Linked DNA regions of Coturnix japonica. The protein of the gene in region 4 interacts with the protein of the main gene of each other region in a pairwise test. Links are inferred from orthologs where the notes say so. Each region holds a gene or a part of one and is shown on either strand. Other genes may lie near its edges.

Region 1 (4,223 bases), about 16 Mb from region 4:
TATAAACCTGGCAGGGTTAGATGGAGCCTTGCACAAGATCAGTATGATTATTTTAGGCTTTTATCTTTTACCTTTATCAAGAAAGCCAATAAACTAAATACAAAATGTATCAAATAGTTTTATTTCATGCTAAATGCAGTTCTCAACAAGAGTTCCTCCAAATACTTACATAATCGCTACTGTTTGTTTCATACTTTATCAAGAATTTCATCATCCATTGTGCATACAAGCATGTAACATTAGAGGCATCCTTTACATCTACTTCCACTGCATAGGACTGGAAAAAACCTGTAAGATACAATTATTAGCTATTAAAACATAGACTTGATGCTCATTACAAAGTAGTACATGATTTCAGATTGGATTCTATTTGTCAGACACTGAACCGATAGCCAGATATCTAATAAATGTTAAAACTAGGAAGCCCACCATCAATGCTAAATACTAATTGAGAGGATAATTTATAGTCTACTTGCCTGACCAAGGCCAACAAATTAGATGAGCTTTAGCTTTCTGCTGGCTGAAACTGAGTAAACCAAACTGCACAAGCACAGCATTTAGAACAATGCAGTGCTTGTCGACCAGAGTCTCCATGTTGTCTTATTAATGGCACGACTCCAGCTGACCTCTCAGATCAGTGTGCTTTCATTGCATCTCTACAATTTCTGGCTCAAAGGACACGGATGTTAAATTTCATTCAAGGTTTTAGAGAACTTGTAGTTGGATTTTTAACCCAGCCTGACTCCCAACACAGAGACTTCCCCAAAGCCAGTTCTCATTTGGTTTTGTTCAGCATTCCCAGCCTGCCACAGTTCCCTAAAACAGACAGGATCGAAACGTTAGAAGCATCATTCCTGACTAACATAAGGTTGATGTTAGTCAGGCTCGTTTCCCTAAAGTGATGGTAACTACGATTGCACAGTTCTCTTCAATAGCCATTCAAGTCTTCCACCCCTCAACACACAGAATCCACAGTACTTCACGCTTTGCATCACCTTGACATTAAGGACTTCCTCCCTGCCCCATACTGGCTCTCTTCCACCAGCATCACAAAGCTCCGCACACAAGACAGTTGGCTTTAACAGCATTCAAGTGCAGCCTGCATTGTTGATGCTGTTCAGAGTAAGAAGTACCCGAGGTAGAGCCAGGAGAAACTTAACCATGTTGGCTCTGAAGCAAATTGTGCTCAATACCACACCATTAATTTATCAGTGCTGGAACCCTAATGGAACTATTATGTGGTAAGAACACTTCAGACTAAGGACAAGGCAGTAAATGAAGGTTTTCAAATGGTTTATTCTAAACCTGAAGCAGTAAACCTCAAGGAGTTCTAGCTTCAACAATGGCAGCACATACATCACCCCACCCGACCAAGCATAACACCTGATGATATCACTTAAGCATCACGTTCAGTAACCCAAGCCACACTCTATTTATTTACAGGAGGCACATAAACACGCACCCTGTCCCCAACAGCTCACAGAACAACTTATTAAATAAGCCCTAAGAGTCTCCTGACAACAGCCATACTTCTTTAGTTACTGATTCTCAGTAAGCAGGGTAACAGATCCAAGCAGTACGTCTCATGCCTAGGCTAGGAGCCTGCACGTTGTTAAAGCAACGGTGCAGTGTGGCTTTTACAACAGTTACTGTTTGTGCAGAGATGGATGGTGCAACCGAGAGATAACAGCTTTGCAATCTGCTACCACGTAGCACCGGAACTCGTTGCCAAGAGTCAGTTTGGAGTTCCAGCAACACTAAAAGTCCTTCCCTTCTGAGCTGAGGAGGGATTTGATACTGCACCTGTGCACCAGTGCTTCTCGTTTCAGAAAGAACGTGGCCAAATCTAAAGCTTTGGGCAACCAGTGCAACCCATACACACACACACAGGTGCTCTCTCCGCAGGGAAAACAGCTTGAAACTAACTTCTCCAAAGGGGATATTTCAGCATAGGTGCTACCAAATAGGACAGCAAAGAGAAATGCCACACCAAGCAAGTTCATAGGGCAGACCAGGCACACCCTGGCCTACTTAGTTATGCTGACAGCAAGTAACTGCAACTGTAAAAGCAGATATCGGTGTGTTTCCTCCCCAGTAGGGGTTCCTTCCAGATGCCATAAGAAAGCACACGTTCCTCATGCCCCGTATGAACTGCGACGCTTATCGCACACCGTTTGAAAAGCAGAGGCCCCAAAGCCTCATGGCACGGAGCGACATCCCAGCTCCTCTCACCCTGCTTGTATAACAGCGTTGGAGACGGCAGAGCCCACCGTCACACGGCAGGCTATAGGCAGGACGGAGCCTGCCTTAAGCCTGCGATGCCCCTCCGCAGCTCCGCGCTTCACACCCAGAGCTGTGGCTCCCGATCAGAGCGTCCTTATTTCGCTTTTTATTCTGCCCCAGCAGAAGGACAAGCAGGAGCCCCGTAAGGTCCGTTTCCCCTCTGCACGCACAGCCGTGTGGCTGCATTAGGCCTCACGCAGCGGGTTCCTCGCCCCGCTCCGACCCTGGGAGGCGCCGCCCGGTCCGGCTGGGCCCCGCCGCGCTCCCCCCCGCCCGCACTACGGCACTACGGCAACCGGCCGCGTCACGGGCCCCAGGGACAGCGGCACGCACCCGCACCCATACACACCCACCCACACCCACCCCGCACCGCCCCGCTCACCGCAGGTTCCGAGCAGCAGCAGCGACAACAACTCGAGTCCGTAGGGGCGGCGCGGGGCCATAGTGCCGGCACAGGGGCTCTGCCGAGGGGCGGGCGGGCGCGGCAAGAGCGTCGACAGCGGTCATGTGAGGGGAGGGCGGCGCCGCCAAGCGCCGGGCGGAGCTCGATCCCGCGGTTGGCGGATCGGTTGCGCCCCTCGCGGTGCCGCGGGCGGGTGGGTTTTCTGTGTGCAGCGGCCCTGAGGGATGGTAGATATCATAACAAGTAAATCGGGTGATGTGCAATAGAGCAGAGTGAAATTAGCATCTGGTGTAGGGCTAAAGTAACAGGGCGGCTTACAGTTCAGTACAAGGAAAAATGGTGGGAGAAACAGCGTTGCCCAGCACAGCCTGGCAGCAGAGCGCTTCAGCTGCGGCTGTTACTGGGGTAGCACGATGGCCACGGCTCTAAAACAATGGCTTTCTATCTAAACTGCATGAAAGCTGCACTTCACACTCGCTCCGAGCAGATGGCGGCCTTTCTGAGCTGCTGTTTTTCTGGAGGAGGTGGTGATGGGAAACCAAACCATTAAATGCTGCCGGGCCAGCAAAGTGCTGAGTCAAGACCGGGGCAATCACGTGGAATGCCAAAAAAAGAAAGCTTTGTGCTGAGGTGAAGGGATCAGAGCCCAGGCTGCTGCAGGATTTCCTGCTAAAGCCCACTGAGAGCTCACGCTGTGATACAGCTGGATAAACATGCTCCCAGCCTGCAGGCAGAAGCAAAGGTAGGGAGGCGGTGCTGGGACACGGGTGTTATACAAGCGTGCTCAAGACGTCATTTTAACTATGTGTTGGCTGGCGTATTATGCCTGTAAGCAGAGTTCTGTAAGCAGGCAGTGTGATCAGCAGCTCCTTGTCTGTCCCGCTCTATGGGCATAGCCCCCAGTCACACGCTACGTCCAGCCCTGAGCCAGCACCTCTCCCTGCCTTGTCCTGAGCAGCAGAACTCGTGTAGGCAACAGCAGCGATCCTGCTCGTAGCTCCTCATCCAGAACACTGCCAGGGATGGCAACTGCACCACCTCCCTGGGCAGCCATTCCAGTGCCTGATCACTCTCTGAGAGAAAAAGTTCTTGCTTATATCTAGCTTAAACTTCCACGGATATGACTTACGGCCATTTCCTCAGGTCCTGTTTGTTGCCTGGGAGAAGAGGCCAAACCCCTCCTTTCCTTTCAGGAAGTTGTAGAGTGCAACGGGGTCTCCCCTGAGTCTCCAGGCTAAACAATCCCAGCTCCCTGAGCCGCTCCTCGTAAGACTTGTGCTCCAGACCAGTTTTGTTGTCCTTCTCTGGACACATTCCAAGGCCTCAGTGTCTGTCTGAGGGTACATTCAATCCCCTCATCCAGGTCATCAGTGAAGATATTAAACAAGATGGGCCCCAGAACCGACCCCTCGAGGACACCACTTGTAATGGGTTGCCAGCTAGATTTAACTCCATTAACCACTACCCTCTGGGCATGGCCCTCCAGCCAGTAAAATTTATGGAACACTTCATGAATTTGTGTGTCAATCTTGTGCAG
Region 2 (3,500 bases), on a different chromosome or scaffold from region 4:
AAAACAAGAGTGACACTGAGTGACAAAAGCCAGTGGAATCAAGGTCAGAGTGTCCAGGCAACATTTCTGCTCCTCAGTTCCTCTGTCCTCCTAAACCTCTTTCCTAATCCCACTTTCAGTACTATCATTCCCTGTGGCACTCCCCTATCTCAGTTCCTCCCGTGGCAATAAGCTCCCTCTGGAGCCCCAAGGCCACAGGAAAAACACTGTACATGATCCTTACTTGTACAGGCTGTTGCTTGTCCTGCTTCAGCAGACTGGTACCAGTTGCCTGGATCCCGACAGGCTCCTTCCTCAACACATGCTGGCGCAAGAGCTGTAACTCACAGTTTCTTTCAGCCAAAGCATGCACCATCTTCTCAGTAGTGGCCTGATTGAGGAAGAAAAAAAAATAGGGGAAGACCGGGCTTTCTTAGAGACTACAGGAAAACATCTTGACTGATAACAAAAGCATTCTTCAAATAGTCTGGTAGCTACTGCTCCTGGTCACTCAGTGATTCCACTGCAGTCCTCTCACTTTGGCTTGCCAGACATCTACAGCCTCTCTACCTACAGAGGAACAAGTTGCTCTGCTTCCCTCACCCCCCTTCAGAAGGGGGGGGGGAAAAAAAGCAGTAGAGAGACAAGAGGAGAGAGTTTGGCCTTTCAGCCTCCTCTTTTTTTGTGAAAGGAAACTTGATGTGAAGTATCTCAGTTAACACTAAATTGCATACAGTGTGCAAGAGCAGGCAGAGCAGGAATTGTGGCATTACATGCCCAGGATCCTGCAGCAGTTTGACTGAAGTGTAAGTTGCAACACAATGAGCAAAGCTTCCTCAGAGTTCTGATCTACACAAGAAATAGTCGAGTCTTTCTTTCTGGTCTGGTAATACAGACTTATACAAGTAGCAACCCTCAACCCCCCCACCCCCCACCCCATGGTCCCTCCAACTGCCTCAAGCCTGAGAACATGAACACCCAAAAGGATCCCAGCCTCCTTCCTCATCACAAACACTGACACAGCTGAACACTGCTACAAGTGCTCCTATCATAATGTGACCAACCTAAAAGCAGCTTGGTGGTTCTCCAGCACTCAGCAACTCCAGTAGCTAGAGAGAGGCTTCAATATGCTTAACACGAGGCAGAATCATCCACCCCAGCATCCCCACTGCAGCACTGCACACAACTCACTTTGCTCCACTGCTCCTTGGTGCTCATGGCCTGCAGCAGCTCCCGGATTTCAGCATCATGCTCCATAGCTTGACGGTTCCTGTCACTGAGAAGCTCCTGCAGCATTTTTTCCTTGCGCTGAAGACGTAAGCACAGCTCCTCTGCCACCTCACTCTGTCCTGGACCCAGCTTGCACAGTAGAGTTGCTGTCAGCTCCTGAACAAAAGGAGAGGAAGGGAGAGATGGAGAAACGTTACTATGAACAAACTGCAGCCTGTTCAGGGAGAAACAGCTCTTCAGTCCAGATGGAGCTGAGTCAACAACGTTTAAGAAAGCACAGGTTATTCACATGTGCTGAAAGCAGCCAGTTTCCAAGGCACTACAAACCGCTGAGCAGCAGGCAGCCAAGAGGCTCTGGCCTTGGACCACACTCTCTGCAGATGAACTGGCTTGGAAATCTAAGTGAAGGCCTTACCTCCACTTCCTTGTTTCTGTCATGCAGGCAAGTCTGCAGCTGCTGGATGATCCCCTCCTGCTCCTTCTGCCTGCTGCAGGATTTGGCCTCAATCTCTTCCTTGAGCCAGCGGAGATTTTCACAGGTTGCTGACATCTGCTCAAGTTCCAGTGTTTTAGCTTTCAGGAGGCTCTCCAGGCTCTAAGGACAAACAACAGAAGGAGCTCAATCAGGGGCAGGGACTTTACCCTGCACAAAGACATACATCTCCATCCTTGCCAGGCACCACTTTCACATCCACATCCAGACCAGAAACACAAGAGCCCTGGGAACTTGCCCAGCACACAGGGACAGAGGAAGCCAACACCTCACAATTACTCTCCTTGACAGTGCAATCACATGAAGGTTTGCCTTGCTCCACATCGCAGCCAGGCTGGATTCCTACACACACCCTAGTACAAGGACTTACATGAATGGTGGCCTCATTGCTGGACAGGACGTTGCGCAGCCTCTCCAGGTCACCTCCACGTTCTTTTATTGAGAGACGGAGCTGTTGCAGCTCTTGTTCTTTTTCCTCTAGAGCACAGAACTTCTCGTCTACTGCTCTCTAGAATGACAAGAGTGAAATACTCAACGTGGGATAGAAAGGCTCTGCAGCTTACTGTTCTACATGGAGCACCTTAGCTCTCCCTTCCAGAAGGCTTCTCTGGAAGAATGGGCCATGAGGAACACGGGAGTCAGTGCAAGAGAGCAGTGTGGGGCTGTACTGTTGATGGTAACCCAAAGATTAAGCCACATGAAAAACAGGGATGTGTTACTAACAGAGTGCACTCACCTCCAGCGCAGCATCCCTGTCGCTGACTCGCTGCTGCAGTTTCTCCAGCATAGCATCCATGGCTGCAGAGCTCCTGCCCAAGCTTTGCTGGCATTGCAGAAGTTCCCTTGATTCCTGAAGAAGTAGCACACAACCCAGTACAGCTGTCAGTCCAGAAAACCCCTGGACAGTAGACTGAGCATCTGATCTATTCACTACACTAATGGGAATTAGAACACCTGCACCTGATTGACTAGGGCCTGTCGGGGCTCACCATGCTGTGAGCTGAGGTATGTGGAAATCTGTGCCAGCTTCCTCACCTGAGGAGCACAGGAGCATCTCTTTCCCTCCCTTCTTTTAAGGGTATGTATTAAAGCTACAGACTAACCTCCACATCTCCACATACCAAAGGAGAAGGGGCCCTGGCTAGTTATGCTCAGTCTGAGTCTTTCTGCATCTCACCTGCAGAAGCTGTTCTTTGCGAGCCAGGTGCTGACTCAAACACTGAACTCTCTGTTCTTGGGCCTGCAGCTCACGGCACTTTTCCCACTCCACAGTCTGGATCTGCTGAGCCTTTTCCTGCAGCTCTGCCTGCAGCTGCTGTACCACAGCACGCAGCTCCTGCAAAGGAAAAGCAAACACCTTGGCATTCAGTCCCCAACAGACCTGTGAAGAGTAGCTGAATCCGAAGGAACCAAGAATGACAAGGACTGCCATGAGAGCAGTCAGAAATGCTCTGCAATACTTCAGATTTCACATCTCAAAATACACTTTCATAGTGAAGCAGGAATTTATTTCCCTTCCCAGGAAATCCATTCATCTAGATGCTTCACTCTAGCCACAAGCAAAGCTTTACAGTCAGTAACAGTGAACCTCCCGCAACAGCAGATGTTAACTTTGTAACACTGCAAAAAAAGACATTTGTAACAGCTAGAAGAGTACCTGCCATAAAACATCTTTTATCATGTCTATAGGATCCTAAATCCCCAGAGAGGAAGCCAAGGAGGCTAAAAATTCTCCACGCCATATTCAAGACAGAGTTAGTCAAGTGTGTCCACACTGGTGTAGGCAGAAGTGATGAAT
Region 3 (4,138 bases), on a different chromosome or scaffold from region 4:
GACTCGGCACCGTTATTCTCTTGATTAGAAGCAGGAGTCACTTTGCTTCTCTGTCCTCCGTGTTCCACATCAATATCAACTTCAATACCTGGGAATACATTTGAGACCAAGAAAAAACCATTAGATTTTTGAAAGCACGGTTCTAAGAAAAAAAGCAAACTTTAATCCTGGACTAAGTGCTGCAGCATGACTGTAACCCTACAGCTCCCCATATAATACGTATGAATTCAAGTGCAAAGCGTTCTTTTAGTTAGCTCTGATGCACCAATTAGTCATCCTGCACTAAAAAGACAGGCCATGTGTTTAGAGGGTCAAGGCAGACCTTAAGTATGTGTGCCTAAGCAAAATACCACTGTAACATGATTTTAAATCATCGGTGATTTGGGGTTATATAATTAATCCCTTCCTTGGATCCTTACAAAGGACTCTGAAAAGGTACTGAGTAGATGGCCTATACCCACACAATTTTAGTACACAGAAACTTAAGGCTTTTGAGGCTGAGTAGCACAAAGTGGTTCTGGTACCAGCCACAACAGCTGGCTGCTGCTCCTGGTGGGAGCAAAGCCATTCTCAGGGATGGGGATGACACACCATAAGTCACTTACCCAGGGGGCTCAGAAAAGCTGCCACACTCTCCCCAACGTTCTTTAAGAAGGTGACATTGGGGTCCTGGGGCTGGCTGTTAGTAGAAGCTTCTAGAAGAACAATTTGTGTTAGTACACATAGCAGCCCATAGGGAAAGAGCACATCCCCAGGAATTCTTGGTGCTTGTTTTGTGTCACTCATCTGCACAGCACCAAGGCAGCAGAGAGACCAAAACCACCTCTGGAACAGAAGACCAGTGGCATTAGCACTGTTAAGGCTCATCAGCCATGCTGAAAGCACATCTAAGAGCAGAGCAGTGACATGCTTGACCTAATAGCTCTGCTTGGTCTGGTTCCAAATAGGCTCTCCATAACCTCATATATTGTGTGGCCACCAGACCACACCAGTGTCCTGGAAAGGGCTCATTATTTCACACAAATTGGATTAGTTCCCATGTCTATTTTCCCACCCAGATCCCACACTGGGCTGTGAAGTCCCAGCTTCTCTGGCTCCTCCACTACTATTCTCCTTTAGCAGACCATCTCCTCTTACCTCCAGCAGCGGGTGGACTGGAGGCAGCAGCACTGGCCTGGGCTTGTTCCGAGTTCTGGCACGGAGCTGCAGGTGCGGGATACCCCCAGCAGTGCATCCAGGGGAAGGGTGGAACACCATGCCGCATCTTACGGAGCCAGCGCCCTCTGGGAATCCACTGCAAAGGGTAACGTTCATGGGACCAGGTGAAACTTAAAGCTTACATTTGGGCAGCATCCCTTTTGTTGGTTCTGCTCCATAGGTTTTGCTCACCTCAAACGGATTCAGCAGCGGGCTCTGAAACATCACCATGTTGTGCTCCTTGTGGATGCCTTTCCCCTCACAGGTGCTGCACAGGTCGTAGTCTGGGCAGACGGTGCACTTAAATCGAGCGCCCACCACCGGCCCCTCGCAGCCGTCACAGATGACATTGGGGTGCACCATGTCCCGGGGAGGCTCCTGGCTGCACTGGGAGCGATGTTCACGCCTGCACTCCTTTTTCTCTATTAAGGAAAGGGATCTTTGCATCAAGAACGAGGGTACTATTTAAAGGCTGGAAATCGGGCAGAGGGGAAGGAAACACAAACAGCCCTTGTCACAGCAGTATTGACTTACTAGGGCAGTTTATTTTTACACTGGCTGCCAAACACAAGCTGGGGGCACATAAGAACATAAACCAAGTGCAAAGGGGTGGTTCAAGGATACCCGCTCTTCAAACACTTTGTTTTAGATCAGTGCTGCACCACCCTGCCTGGAGCATCCTCCTACCTTGTGGAGTGCTGCGAGAAGAGAATGTTTCTGAACAGAGCTGAGCAGTGCCAGGGGACACTGCAGGTGAGAACTGAGACAAGAAGGGCGGCCTACACTACTCACATCACAGCCTACAGATAAAGCTTTGTAGGTGTCCAAGTGAACAGAGCGGACTGGGGAATGATGTGCTTAGGAATAAGCTGGTTTTGGGGTTTCTTTACATGTCATGGCACCTGCTGGCAGTACGGCAGGGGGTTCCTAGGACCATCCTGAACACTGCAGCGCTCACTGTGCCAACCCAGGCCCCGGAGCCAGGAGGAACCCCTGCACACAGTGGGTCTGTGCCCGTCTTTACCTCGCCCTTTATGTAACCTCCCCTCTGAGCTGCAGCACGAGGATGAGGGACAGGACCGGGATTTTCCCGGTCTCGGAGCCGTGCCAGCAGCACAGAGCGCTCGGTGCCACCGGGCTGCGGGGCGTTACCTTTGATGTACACACGGAAGACCCCGTCCTGCACGTAAGGCATGGCCATATCCAGCTCCTCGTCGGTGGAGAACGCGATCAGGTCCCCGTCTTCATCTGGACAGAGCAGAGCACACCGTCAGGCGCTCGGCCCGCACCCACCTCCCGGACAACGAAGGGGGCCCCGACCCACAGCGAGCCCCCCCGCCCCGCTCACCCTTGTAATGCATACGGAACGCGGGCGGCGGCCCGGCCCGCAGCAGCCCCTGGAAGAGCTCGGCGACGCGGTCGTGGACGGGCTGGTAGCGGACGGGAGCAATGAGCGAGAAGCGGCGGATCTCGCGGGCCGCGTCGTCCTTGCCCAGCAGGTAGGCCTTCACCGTCAGCGCCGCCATGGCTGTGGCGCAGCACGAATTGCTGCGGGACAACGAGCGGCGGGAGGCGGCGCGGGGCGGGCGGTGCTGCGGGAGGGAGCGGCGGCACCGAGCCTTATAGAGCGGGGGGACGGGCCGGGGTGGGCACAGCCCTGGGTTAAACCACGACCACTGCCATTAGGCACCGCCCCGCCGCCTGGAAATACAGAGCCCATATTCGCCCCGAAAGTAATGCCTCCTATTTATCTGCATGGAAACTACAACAGCTACAGAGATCACAGTGACGCTGTTTGACAGAGCAGGTTCTCAGCTACAAAGCACTGTTTTTCAACGCGGTCACCACCACTGTGCTGTGCATTGTCATCAGTGGTGAACACGAGGCTGCATGCTGCTCTACAGGTGACTGTGAAACACACGGCCATGCCGTGCTCACAGTGCTGTGCTCACAGTGCTGTGCTCACCCACTCGTTGGGCTCCATAACACTCAGCAGCTGTTGGCTCCTTCACCCTCTGCTGCCATCCCACCTGCAAATGGGAGGCATTACTTTTGGAGCAACCCCTTTGCCTCAGCTCTGTAGCACTGATTCCCTCCAGCCCACAGCCTGGCTGCCCACCTTGGGCTGAGGCAATCACAGTGTGTAAGCCATGCTGTGCTGCACTGCAGGGTGAGCGTCCCCCCACGATGGGTTGTGTGTGCCACAACACGGCCTGCCGTGTGGATGTGCCCTTGGTGCACATGTGGCTGCTCTGGGATCACAGCACGCTCCTGGGACGTGGCACTCGTGCAGCATGAGGTGACAAGTGAGAGCTTGGTGTGAGCCACAGCCAGGCATCAACATGAGTCCTTGCTCTCCTCCATGGGCACTTCCATCCAGTAAACATGGAGAGCGTCCCATCTCAGCTGCCTGCTGAGTCACGCTGGGCTCTCTGGCCGTGACATCATTCACTTTCTCAAAGCACAAAGCAAACAAGGCCTGCGGTGAGCAGTGAGCTCAGCTCAGTCACGGGACGGGGTGACTCAGCATTCCCTGCTCCTCCTCGAGGTGGGGATTTCCTCCTCCAGGCCCTGACTCTGGTGTTTCCCCGTGGCCTGGTGCTTCGGCCCTGCCGTGCTCCCATGTATTCCAATGGCACTCACTGCATCCTCCCATCCCACAGCCGGACGGACAGACAGATGTCTCCCCACCAACCCCAACTGCACACTGCTCTGCAGCCTGAGATTTGGCTTAAGCTCTTGTTAACCTGAGCCTGTATTAACCTGGAGGACCCAGGCCTGGAATTTATCTGGCAGCACTGAATGTTTTCTTGCTCTTCTTTAGGAACCACATTCCATCCATAGAACAACCCTTGCTCAAAAAACCACTTGTCAGCCCCGGCTTATGAGCAGCTCCCCAGATGGACGGAGCAGGAGGACAGCAAAGAGGATGGGAATAAAA
Region 4 (4,035 bases):
CATCCATTACAGAATTGACTTGCTGCCAAATCATAAAAAAAGAACGAATCTACAGAAAAGAGTGTATTTTCCTTCCTATTCTACTACCATGCAACTGAAATTAACTTAAAAAAAATAAAATGGAATTCCTCCAGTTTAAATGACCTATTCATATGTTCTTGGCAGCTTTTTTCCTGTTCATTTTTCACTATGGCATTTATGAGACAGTACTTTAAGGCCTGGTAGTTTCTAAGTGAAGACGATGATTGTGTCGTCAACAGTCCAATGTGAGATTTGAAAAGAATCTTTCCCCGGGTTCCATGCAAAGTACTCGCATAGTCTGGGTAAGTCAACTAACATCTGCTTCCCACTTTCTCCACTGTCTCAGTGACCGTAAAGGTTCTTCTTTGAGTAGCCATGGAAAATAGCTGCTGAGGATATGCAATAGTAAGTATAGAACATTAGGTTAACTTTGAAAAACAAGGAGCTGACACCTCACCATTCAAAATGTTACTGCTGAGGACCTTTATTTAGTGAAGAAAGAAAACAAGCTCCTTTCTATGGGGTGTACAGTTATCTTCCTTCTACTCCAGGAAAAGACATTGGCACGTCTTAGATTCAGTTCCAGAACCAACATCTCAAGTTTTTTCTTTAAAAATCCTGCTTAAAACTCAGGCATTCTACAGGATTCTGTGAATTTACCTCCCATATAGCAAGCATCTTAAATAGGGCCAGTCAGTAACTTGCATTGTAAGGCCTCTTCCAACAGGCAAGTTTATCCTGTACAACATTACAAATGCAGCCCCATATGACCAGCACACACAGTGACAAGAACCAAAAAAAAATACATGACACACAACAAACAGCAATCAAACAAACAAGCAACAATCGTCAAAGACCCTATGCTCAGGAGAGTTCAAATCTCATCATGTTTACTTTGCAGTTAATCCTCTCCTATGAGTGATTACATATTTCAGAGAAGAGAGAGAATTCAGCTCTTTCTTTCAGATGAGCGGGGCTGTCAGGGTACACCAATCAGCAGCACAACCTCACTGCCCACCTACCCACATAGAGGACTCCCTCTTTCGTCTTTCCTGCTGCTTCTGCCACTCCCTGCTTGGTTTTTTCTGCTGCTGCTACAACCCCTTCCTTTGCCTTGTTAAGTCCCTTCATGAAGACATCCATGGCTGAAGGATTTCTTCACACAACACTAGAAAAAAAAAAAAACAATACCAAACACACTTTAAATAATGGTTCTCAGCTTTTTTTTTTTTTTTTTGCCAGAAAATTTTATTAAAACTGATTGCACATCAAAATACTTTTGAAATACATTATTTATACTCACATATTATATAACTTCCATCTACATCCGTATTAGCAATATACACATACCTCTCTGTATCTAGGATCGCTTTCAGTATTTCAGATAGACAAAAAACAGTTAAATAACTAGAAAACAAAGGAGCTCCATTACACAACTCACCTTTACATCTCACATGCTACCACAGAGCAAGTTCAAGTTAAGCAGTATGGCTAAGGTAGTCCCTGAAAGGCCCAGGAGTTCCCACAGAAACGTACAGAAAGGTCACTGATAACGCAGTTCTCATTTGAAGTTGCACTCACTGAAAGGAACAAATCCATTCCTTGCCTACCACCATCTCCTCCAAAGGACAGTTTCTTGTCTATTAACTACAAGATCTAATCCCATCATTCGCTGATGCTCCACCTTCTCATTCAAAGGAAAAACTTAAAAACTAACAACTTTACAAACGCTTCTTCTAAATGAGAAACGTTCGCTCATTGTTGTTTGAAGAACCACTAATGTTCCAGAAGGACTTGAGCAAACACAAAACTGCTTTCCAGCAACCCAGCATTTTGCATGCAGCCCATATTGCTCTGCCAGCACTTGAGCTTTCAAAAGGGATCCTGCACATGCATCAAGACTAAGGAGGAAAAAAAAAAAAAAGCAAAGGCAAGAACATGCTACACTAATAACACCACACTACAGCTAGCAAGTAGGTTCTGTGGCAGTTATACAGCCCTACGCTACAATTAGGCCACAAAGACAGTAATTAAAGCCAGCAAGACACCCCTTTCACAATCCCGTCGCCGACAGCCCCTTCCCTTTCTCCCCCTCCCCCTCCCAGAAGATGCACTGCCTGCTAGTTCTTTCCCTCCGCCGGAGGAAGGGATGTCTAGGAAGACAGTGGGGAGCTTGCTACTAACCCGTGGCAATCAGAAGGGCAGAATCCGTGCCCCACTGACACCGTAGGCAGCACCGAGAGCAGGTGTGGGAGCACCTGGGTGCAGAGCGAGGGAAGAAAGCAGTACATGGCTACGTGGCTCAGTCTAAATAAAAGAATGGGCACCTGTGGAGGAAGGAAGAAAGAACGCGCAGGGCTCTCCCACATGTATGTGTCTGTATCTATACGGACTATCCGAGGAGAAGGGCAGGGCTACGTGAGCACATAAGCACCCAGCGGCTCCCTCACACGGCAGCCGCGGCGCCCGCTGGTTTCCCCTCCCGTTCCCTTCCTCCTTCGTGCCCAAAGGAGAACACGTTGAGCGACAAATGCACCTGTCCGCACACCCACCCCTGCGGCTGCCCAGCCCCAGGGCGAGCAGAGCCTCTCATGCACTCCCCACCACCTACCGCTGGGTCCGCCGCTGCAGGAAGGCGGGGGGAGGCAGGGCAGGAGGAGGGCGAAGCGCAGAGAGACCTGATGGGAGCTGCCCCTTCTCAGCACATCGCCAACTCTCCCGACGGCAGCAAGGCAGGCAGCGAGTGTGAAGGAGAGGCAGGGTGCGGGGCGGGGGCGGTAGGAGGAGGGGCCGGGGGCGGTGGGGCGGCTCCCAGCCTCCATCCCCTTCTGGGTGGGAATGTGCTGCGGGTCGGGTATGCGTCGTGACGTGGGGGTGGGAGGTAAGGATAGGAAAGAAGAGGGGAGGCTGAGGTCCTGGTCATCTCGTGGCACCACCTGTCCGCTGTTCGCCCCGGCGGCTGAATCACAGCACTCAGAAGCAATGCGAGCAAGCTGTTGCTAGTGAATTCAGCACACCTGTTTCGCTTCACCCACGGCTCAGAAAACGCCCCCGAGCTCTTGGTTACTTATCTTCCTCTCGTAAGCCTTCAGGCCGGAGTGACTTGAGGTGAACGCTCTCAGGATTCACGCTCCCAGCTCATTTTTAAGGATGGCAGGTAATACTCTTGTAGGTAAAACAAGATCCTTAACCCCACAGCATAATATAATAAAATCTTTGTCTAAACAAGGATGAGAAGCCCAGCCTCACACCTGTTGGTCTCCATTGTACAGACCAGAGCCACTGCATTTCCCCTCTTGGTCTGTTACACTCAAGTCACTTTTCCCCAGAAAGGGAAGGCAATGTCACTTCTCTGCATTGCTGCAGAGCGTAGGCATGAAAAGCCAAATTCAGTGGAAAACAAGGTATTAGAACAGATGGACCTTCAGCATCAGTACATCAGTCAGCATGCTGTACAGATCCTGCAAAACCTTGCAAAAACAGTTTGTTCTGTCATTGCGCTCCAAAGGAGAAGCAGAGCTTGGTACAGATGAGACACAGGGATGTGAGCTGCACAAAGCACCTTCCATCCATCATACTGGGCAGACAGCAGACAGGTTCCTGCTTTTATTTCCATTCTGAGCACACAGTGCAGAGTTTTCTCTTTTTCAGGTTTCTTAATGTTTCTTTACCGCTTGGTAATCTTCCTTGGGATTCATTCCACTACTACATTTAACCAAGCAAACATTTGGTGAAATGTATTTTTTTGTGTGAGAAGGTGCTGACTGAGAACACAAACCATTCCTTCATAATTCTGCTCTCCAGAAAATCCTTAGCAAATGATCCAGCAATTGCACATCCTATTCATCATGAGCTACACTTTACTTGCAGTCAAGGTTGAAATTGCAGAAATAACACATTTTACATGAGCAACAATAACATCTCAAATTAATGACTTTGTCTGGCTAGATAGTCAGTGTTTGAGTGGAAAGCAGCTCTGTCCCCCTGGGACCTTAAGTAAATCCATACTCTGAA
Region 5 (4,160 bases), on a different chromosome or scaffold from region 4:
GCCCTGGGGTTCTGCTGATCCATGTGGGAGAAGCCTTCAGCCCCATCCGAGCCCTCAGTTCACAGTGCAGCTCTTCCTGGCCTTGCTGGCACAAGGAGGACATGCCTGGGAGCCGTGATTAGTGACAGAATTAAGATGCAGAGATGCTTCTGCTTCTTTACATACCGGTTACAGCAACGTTCCTTCCATTAAAAAGTGTTTACTAATGAAATGTCTTGGGTTCTCCACTTCATGATCAAGTTAAATTTGCTTCTTTGCAGGTTGCAGCAATAAAGCCTTATAAGTCATAGTAATAATCCAGCTTTGCGTCCACAGTTTTGCATCCTTTATCTGAATAAATCCTTTCCTCTCGGGGGAAGTAGGTCATCTCATCTGCTACTCTGTTTAAAATGTCTTCATCCACAGCATAACCACGGGATTCCACCTCAACCCTGACACACATTTTCACATGTTTGTATTCCAGAGGCAGGAAGGGAACAAAGTAGTCGATGAGATTCCTATCAATCAAGGTGCTGTGCCAAAATCCACCTACGAAAGGAAAGAGAAAGGCTTTGTTACTGCTCCTCAAGTTGAACACAGGGGGGTGAATGTCACAGCTCCTGCAACACACCTGGAGGGATCCACCTGTGTTTCTTAGGGCCCTACAGAGCACAAGTCAATCTAAAATTAAGCCTATTCTCACACTTCTGCATTGTCTCAGACACACAAACATGGTCTGCTGGATCCCTTCTGAATGACTGCATTTAAGCCCTGCTCCCCACATGCTGCTCTCACAGCCTCACCTCTCTCACTTAGAGAAGTTCCAATATTTTTCTGTTATCAGCTCTCACACACCAGCTTGTCCAGCTCCTTTTTCCCCCAGATCTTGCACCCAGCCTCATTTCTTTTATTTGCTTTCTCTTTACCATATTAGTACATCAGTAAACACACAGCACAGAACTCCCCTAATCCAAACGTAACCCACAGCCATCAAACAAGCTGCACACAGGTGTCCTCAGCTCTAAGGCATCACAAGAACTCTCCCATTGGCCACACATTGCACGGTGGCTCCAGAGCCCAAAAACTGGAGACCACATAAAGCAGAAACCTCTTCCATGAAATACACTGTGTGCACTGATGGCTGACTATCATTTATATGGGACTCTGACTGTGTCAAAGCTCAATTTCAGCTCTACTCACTATTTCTGTTATTGAAGACAGACACAGACAGCGCGTTCTGCATGTCCGTGAGCTGAATATCTTCCCTCGCCTTCCCATTCCTCCAGAAATCAAGTGCCACCTCTGTTATCTTTTCAGCTCCCGCGTTGCTAAGAAAAGAGGAAAACAAGGGTTGTAACTGAAGGTAGTTTTAAAAGGCGCTGTGTGCACAGGACAGCAAACCCAATGAGGTGCTCCTTACCTGAGGAATATGAAGATGGCTTGTCTGTACGACACCCCATCCAGAAGCTCATAATAGTCCAGAAATGGTTTGATGGCATCAATGAGTCCTGCGTGCATTTTGTCCATTTCATCAAATATGAAAATTGACCTGGGACAGATGCTCACGTTTCCTCGAATCCATGATTGCAATTGGTCCTGGGTGGCATAAAAACAGGTGCAGCTGAAAGGGTTTGCATTGAAAAGGCAGAAAACAGGACACCCAGAGACAGGATGAGATGGGCCTGAACTCCCAAGAGAAAGATATTCCTGAAACCACATTGAAAAGGAAAGGACACATCAGGACAAAGGATGAGCACCAGGAGGAACAGCAACACAGAGCAGAGCCTTGTGGAGCACTGAGTGCTTTAGGCAGCACTTTGGTCCAAGCACCCCCCAGCATCACAACTGCTCTGTTGGACTCACTGAGATCCCACCTGTAGCCATTGGAACAGGCAGAAGCAGAATTCAGTCCTCAGCCATTAGTTTGAGCCATCCAGAAATTATATGAAGACAACGCTTAAAACAAGGCACGCAAAGCAATGCTGTGCTGTATCATGAGATCCTCTCACTTAAGATCTTTGAGGTCATCTCTGCCCCTTTGCAGCCCACCCAGCAGCACCGCTGCCCTCCTGCCACCTTTACCTTGTAGAGGTTGATGCTGTGAGCGTGAGGGAAATGCAGCGTAGCCACAAACTGATGCACATAGTTACTCTTCAGCCCCCTCTTATAGATGCTCTCAGCGATGATCTTGCTGACAAAGTTCTTCCCTGTGCCCGTCCAGCCGTGCAGGGACAGAGCCAGCGGCTTCTTGGCCTGGCTGTTGCTGAGGAAGCCCCGCACGGCCCTGACCACCACCTTGCTGACCAGGTGCTGCCCGAACAGCCTTCTGTCCAGGCTCTCCTGTAGGGCTGTAGAGCACATGGGACCGTTAACAGCGAGCAGAACATCAGCGCCATCTCAACCCCATCTCATCCCCCATCCCAGCCCCCATCTCAGCTCCATCTCATCCCCCATCTCAACCCCCATCTCAGCCCCCATCCCAGCCCCATCTCAGCCCCATCCCAGCCCCCATCCCATCCCAGCCCGCACCGTTGGCGACGCGCAGCTCATGGCGCTGGAGGCAGCACTCCCTGAAGTAGCAGTAGAGCCTGGGGTAGGAGATGATGCCGGTAAGGGCCGATGCGGCGGCCCCGGCGATGGCCAGCCCCAGGCTGATGGGCTCCACGGCCCGTGATGGCGGCGCGAGGAGCAGCAGCAGCACAAGCCCCGGCACAGCCCGCCGCCATCCCTGCTGCACCTTCATGGCCGGCACGGCCGCTTCCGGTCCGCCGCTTCCGGCCTGATGTATAACTTCCGCCGCCGCCATCTTGAAGCTGGGCAGAGGCGGGGCTGGGCGCGGCCATGTTGGGCGGAGCCATAGGGTGATAGACATCCAGTCGAAAAAGGGATCAAACGAGTGATGTGGGCTGTCCACAACTCCATTAAGAACACATCCATTACAGTGCCTTAAAAGACTTTTATTAAGCCCCATCTCTTGCTTTCAGGCTCCTTCACATCACCCCCCTCCAACCTCCTCCCTGCTAACACTGATCTCTGCCCCTTCCCACTCCTGAAGGGCTCCTCCTGCTTTTAAAGGAGATTTGACTTGTTTTTCCTCCATACAGAGGATCTGTAAAGTCAATTTCATCTTCCCACTACAAAAAGTCTCGCCGTGAAAGCTGACGTTATGATAAAATAAGCTTTATGATGGAAAATAAAAGTTATATACAAGATTTTACCAGCCAGAGTTCACAAACAGATCGACAAGAGCACAAGGAAAGCTCCTCCATTCCTGGGCACTGACACAAGATCCACCATGAGAGATGGGGAGAACAAGCAGCTCTGCAGAGCCCTCAGCCCACGTTTATCAGTAGCGCCGGTTCATCTTCTTGAACTTCTCATAGTGATAATCATCAGTTGCTTTTTCATTGGGTGGACGTTTGCGATTTGGAGGAGAACCTTGAGAAGGAACAGAGGATCAGCACATTTCCAGTCCTTTCCCTGATGACATTACCTAAACTTGAACCTTATGAACTCCTGTAAAGCCACACAACTGCCGTCCCTTGCTCTATGAAAGGCTGTCCTTCAGTGCTCCCTAACCTCGCTTCCCTTGCCATCCCAGCTTTCAGCACACCCCTATCAATCAGCTTGGTTAATGCATTCTGGTGGTGACCTTTGCTGCTCCATCTAGAGGTATCACTAAACAATCCTGCATCCAGCTGGTTTCCTATGGGACCTTGCACAACAAAAGAGCTACATCTCTGTATGAGACCCCAACACATTCCAGTACCTTCCCTTAAGACACTTCAGATCAGGAACTTACGCTCAGGTTCTGGCCTTTCTGTATCCCCCACTCTCAGTGGACGGGGCTTTGGCTCTTCTTTATTCCTTCTCACCGGCGCGTTGAGCTCCTCGTGATAAACTGAAGGAAGGAAAACATCAGGTAGAGTATTTCAGAGTTGCATTCTTCACACAGATGTTCTTCTATGGCACTTACTATGACTGATCTTCAGGAGAAACCACAGAACCTCACGACAAGTGTTCCAGTAATTGCTTTCTATGGATAGGATACACCATGTTTCAGAGGCACTATTTCATCAGAAGTCACCCAAAAATGCTTAATTTCCTTCAGAACACACAAACCTGACACCAGATCACCCCTGTAGGTGCGGTCAGACATGGTAACAGGCTGCCTTTCCTCC
Region 6 (3,500 bases), on a different chromosome or scaffold from region 4:
TCTTTCTCTGGTGTAGGCATTTTCTAAATGACACATAGGAAAAAAAAATACAGTCTGTGGCACACCATATCTGTAAGATGAACTAACAAACATGAAAAATGAAGCACGGGCATTTCACAAGTTGTAAAGAAGCTCTGAAAGACCACATTCATGGCATAATATATATAATTCGTTTAATAAGCTGTCTTCCATATCTCCAGCATGCCTTTGGTTGCATGAGTTACAATAAAAAGAGATGCAGGCATGGTAGCATCTACACTTATTTTGAAAAAATAGTTGCAATTACAAGTTAAGCCTCCAGTATGTGGGGTTTTTTGTGTGAAGAGTAATAAAATTCTTTGGAGTCCTAATATGAATCTCAAAGTCAGTTTGTAAATGGAAAGATTTAGTTATTTCAAAAACACCAGTTAGCGCTGGATAATCAGATTATGAAACATTAGAAGTCATAAGAGAGGCCTCCCTTTTTGCCTGCTTTTCAAGTCCTTAATGAAATTCAACTGTCACTAATCAGTTGAAACCGCAGTTATCTGAGTAAGTTAAAACAGGTTGTGTCCCCAGATATGACCTGACTTCTACACTGTAACGTGCTAGACATCTGCATCAGCTTCCGCCTAAAACCCAGACCTTGCCTTGATTCCCATGTTCAGTTATTTTCTAATTGTACAGACATTAAAAGTCCTTTTACTCAGCACTATCATCTTCAGCAAGCAATGGAATTCATTTGGTTTTCCCAAATAAGGCTTCCTACCCAGGTAGAAGAATTATATACATTTTCCCCCCATATTCAGTACATGATTTATCTGATGAGCATTCTTGTAAACTGTAGCTATTAACCACACTGCCATAGAACATGCTGTACAGGTGTTTTCCCTGCCACAGAACTCAGAGGCCCATTTGCATTTTAGTTGCTTTTTGATAAGTGGAAAATAAAACCCATTTTTAAATGACTAATTCCTGCAAGGAAAGGCTAAGGCTCGATGTTTTACTTAACAATAAAATTTGAATGCTTTTAGATGTGGGCAGGTTAATCTCAAGCATTGCCATGTTTGCAACAAGTCAGATTCAAATGAAAGTTTCAAAAGTAGTAAGGAAGAAATGATCAATCTCACTAATCTGAAAAAAATCTCTCAGTAGGGAGCTTAAAGGAAACATGAAACAACTGTTAGGTAACCTTCTGCTATTAACTTCTAGAATCTTTTGCAGTGCCTGTTTGAACAGAACACCAACATACGTAGATACACACTATTTCGGCATACATACTCAGTTTTAGAGCAGAAATCGGGTACTTCCAGCTACTTGTCATTTGAGGCAACAGGGAAGCTGATACTCCAGGTAATAATGCAATGGTCCACAGATAACACAGATTAACAAACTTCAGCAGACCATAAAACACAGACACCTGCAACTGCTCACATAGGAAGTAACAAATAAGGAAGCAATGTTAAATATTTGCATCAAGAGGGCTGTGAGTGCAGATGTGATTTAGAAACACTTCAAGTATTTCTGCCTTATGTTTTACACGTTCTGTATTAGCAGAACAACCAAAATATTACTCCAGCATTAAGAACAGATCTGATACTCAGGCTCTGGGAAAGCAAAAGAACAGAATTAAAGCAACAAACCAGACTCCAACAGCCTCCACTTACTTTCTTCATCTATTTTCAGCTCTTCATTGTTTTTGATCTTCTCTGCGATTTCTTTCTCATTAAATCCTTTACTTGCCAAAAACTTGATTTTATATTCATCCCAGGAAACATGACCTGTAAGAGAGAGCCATATCTCAGACATGACTTAGTATAGCAAAAAATGGGAACTTTGGGTCTAATTTGTGAACAAGACCATCACAATAAACTTTATGAGAACTACCACCTGATTCACTTTCCTGTTTCCTTACAGCAGACGGGCCTTGTGAAAATAACCTGTTTATGTCACAGGAGGCAGAAGAAACACTTTATCTTACCATCACCATCAGGGTCCACAGCACGGAAATGCATTTTATTCTCTTCCACAGCTTCCTGGAAATGTTCATCTGTCTTTTCCATGATCCAGCGCTGCATCTCTTTAGCACTTATCTTTTTATCATTATCTATATCCACTCTGTGAAAGAACAGCAGACAAGATTTAATTCTTTTTTTTTTTAACTGAAAGGATTACATAGAGGATTAATACAGAGGATAGACTCTGGGCTTATAGTAGAAAAGCTCCCTTGTTTTTCACATCCATCCTTCTACAGGCAGGTACAGCAGGTAACTGCCTAGTTCAAAAACATTCTACCATGTTTCACTTGGCTGTAACTTAACTCATTTCGATACTATGCTTTTGAGTACATTTCTAGAGGAAACTACAAATACTGATAATATCCTAATGGCTCATAATAGTCAACTGCCAGCTCTTGCAAACTTTCACTACTGTGACAAATTTCTGCACTAAGAATCTCCCAAATCAGTAACTCCCCCTCCATTTAACTTTGCAAGTCTTTTTTCCCTTGTTTTTCCAAAGTCTCTGAAGCTTACAGATAAGCTGCCTTTACATGCCTGCCTCGATCACATCATATTCTTTGCAGCAATTAAAAACAATGGAAAAGGTGAACATCTCAGTGCAAGGACTTCTGAAGAATTCTACACTACATAGACCTTATAAGTGGGGGGGAAAACAAAAATCAAGTTGCCTTAATGATCACTTGATCCCCAGTAACGCACTACAGGCAATACACTTTAACCCTTAAACAGGCACATTGCAAAAGCTTTGCATGTACACTTGTTCCCATAGTTTTAGTGCTAGCAGGCTCACTTTGCTCTGTCAAAATACAAACCTGTACAGTGTTACTGAGCAATGCTGCTAGACCTGTTGAGAAACACTTATGCTCATAATTCAGTTAGTGAGATGAATAAAAGATGTGTCCAACCTGACAGCCCACTGTCCTACCCCTCATACTACGAATACTGCTTTATCAAAACAGACTGCCAAATGAGCAATGCCATTAATACTTATTTCATTAAAGAGGATATAAAAATAACAGATGAACAAAGACAGTAACCTGCCACTTTGGGGGGTGGGTTTTTTTTTAGCATACGATTATTTTATTACAAAAAAGGTAACAATGTTTAAAACTGAAATCAGTAACATTTAAAAGGCAAGATTCTATTTAAAGCAAAACAAAACCACTCTGATTCAAACAGATAAAGGCTGCCAAGTTGTGTTTTTTTCTTTAAACTGAACTAGTCTTAAAACTACTTGAAGCGTTATCACTGAAACTCAAGCTATTAAATGTGAATGCATTTAAATGTCACCTAAATGTTACAGGCTTAAGACAAATAACAACGCCAGCATCTGATCTTCTGAAACACATTAACGCTGTTTTAAAATACTGTAAACACATTTTGACCTATTTATTCACAGACTCAGCAACTCTTCACCAAACAACAGCAAGATGAGCACAGTGGTCACGTTCCACTTGTGTTGTCTTGCACTCACCAGGTGAGCAGTGGGGGGTTTTGATA

Evidence for each region.
Region 1: the proteins of SNCA (region 4) and LAMP2 interact in binary tests that used the Homo sapiens proteins (3 or more experiments, as listed by UniProt). The link is inferred for Coturnix japonica from reciprocal best matches to the Homo sapiens genes SNCA and LAMP2.
Region 2: the proteins of SNCA (region 4) and myomegalin-like interact in a two-hybrid assay, tested with the Homo sapiens proteins (2 studies listed by BioGRID and IntAct). The link is inferred for Coturnix japonica from reciprocal best matches to the Homo sapiens genes SNCA and PDE4DIP.
Region 3: the proteins of SNCA (region 4) and SQSTM1 interact in binary tests that used the Homo sapiens proteins (3 or more experiments, as listed by UniProt). The link is inferred for Coturnix japonica from reciprocal best matches to the Homo sapiens genes SNCA and SQSTM1.
Region 5: the proteins of SNCA (region 4) and torsin-1A-like interact in a two-hybrid assay, tested with the Homo sapiens proteins (2 studies listed by BioGRID, with this or other methods). The link is inferred for Coturnix japonica from reciprocal best matches to the Homo sapiens genes SNCA and TOR1A.
Region 6: the proteins of SNCA (region 4) and SDF4 interact in a two-hybrid assay, tested with the Homo sapiens proteins (2 studies listed by BioGRID and IntAct). The link is inferred for Coturnix japonica from reciprocal best matches to the Homo sapiens genes SNCA and SDF4.

Annotation. Positions count from the first base shown.
Region 1 is NC_029519.1:15,316,921-15,321,143, reverse strand, and holds the start of LAMP2 (lysosome-associated membrane glycoprotein 2), read right to left. Parts: upstream 2,801-4,223; 5' UTR 2,727-2,800; coding exon 2,666-2,726; intron 289-2,665; coding exon 170-288; intron 1-169. UniProt on the Homo sapiens protein: Lysosomal membrane glycoprotein which plays an important role in lysosome biogenesis, lysosomal pH regulation and autophagy.
Region 2 is NC_029523.1:4,147,417-4,150,916, reverse strand, and holds part of myomegalin-like, read right to left. Parts: intron 3,039-3,500; coding exon 2,880-3,038; intron 2,553-2,879; coding exon 2,439-2,552; intron 2,211-2,438; coding exon 2,073-2,210; intron 1,805-2,072; coding exon 1,625-1,804; intron 1,366-1,624; coding exon 1,171-1,365; intron 371-1,170; coding exon 224-370; intron 1-223. UniProt on the Homo sapiens protein: Functions as an anchor sequestering components of the cAMP-dependent pathway to Golgi and/or centrosomes.
Region 3 is NC_029528.1:4,616,723-4,620,860, reverse strand, and holds the start of SQSTM1 (sequestosome-1), read right to left. Parts: upstream 2,801-4,138; 5' UTR 2,724-2,800; coding exon 2,546-2,723; intron 2,446-2,545; coding exon 2,350-2,445; intron 1,620-2,349; coding exon 1,390-1,619; intron 1,295-1,389; coding exon 1,138-1,294; intron 696-1,137; coding exon 606-695; intron 89-605; coding exon 1-88. UniProt on the Homo sapiens protein: Molecular adapter required for selective macroautophagy (aggrephagy) by acting as a bridge between polyubiquitinated proteins and autophagosomes.
Region 4 is NC_029519.1:31,290,067-31,294,101, forward strand, and holds the start of SNCA (alpha-synuclein), read right to left. Parts: upstream 2,801-4,035; 5' UTR 2,633-2,800; intron 2,370-2,632; exon of another isoform or gene 2,349-2,369; intron 1,190-2,348; 5' UTR 1,165-1,189; coding exon 1,044-1,164; intron 1-1,043. UniProt on the Homo sapiens protein: Neuronal protein that plays several roles in synaptic activity such as regulation of synaptic vesicle trafficking and subsequent neurotransmitter release.
Region 5 is NC_029532.1:4,312,227-4,316,386, forward strand, and holds the start of torsin-1A-like, read right to left. Parts: upstream 2,801-4,160; 5' UTR 2,786-2,800; coding exon 2,509-2,785; intron 2,328-2,508; coding exon 2,062-2,327; intron 1,576-2,061; coding exon 1,400-1,575; intron 1,308-1,399; coding exon 1,180-1,307; intron 529-1,179; coding exon 278-528; 3' UTR 1-277. Other genes in the region: C17H9orf78 (telomere length and silencing protein 1 homolog), read right to left, coding at 3,326-3,417, 3,782-3,880. UniProt on the Homo sapiens protein: Protein with chaperone functions important for the control of protein folding, processing, stability and localization as well as for the reduction of misfolded protein aggregates.
Region 6 is NC_029536.1:2,140,754-2,144,253, reverse strand, and holds part of SDF4 (45 kDa calcium-binding protein), read right to left. Parts: intron 2,098-3,500; coding exon 1,961-2,097; intron 1,761-1,960; coding exon 1,647-1,760; intron 1-1,646. UniProt on the Homo sapiens protein: May regulate calcium-dependent activities in the endoplasmic reticulum lumen or post-ER compartment. Isoform 5 may be involved in the exocytosis of zymogens by pancreatic acini.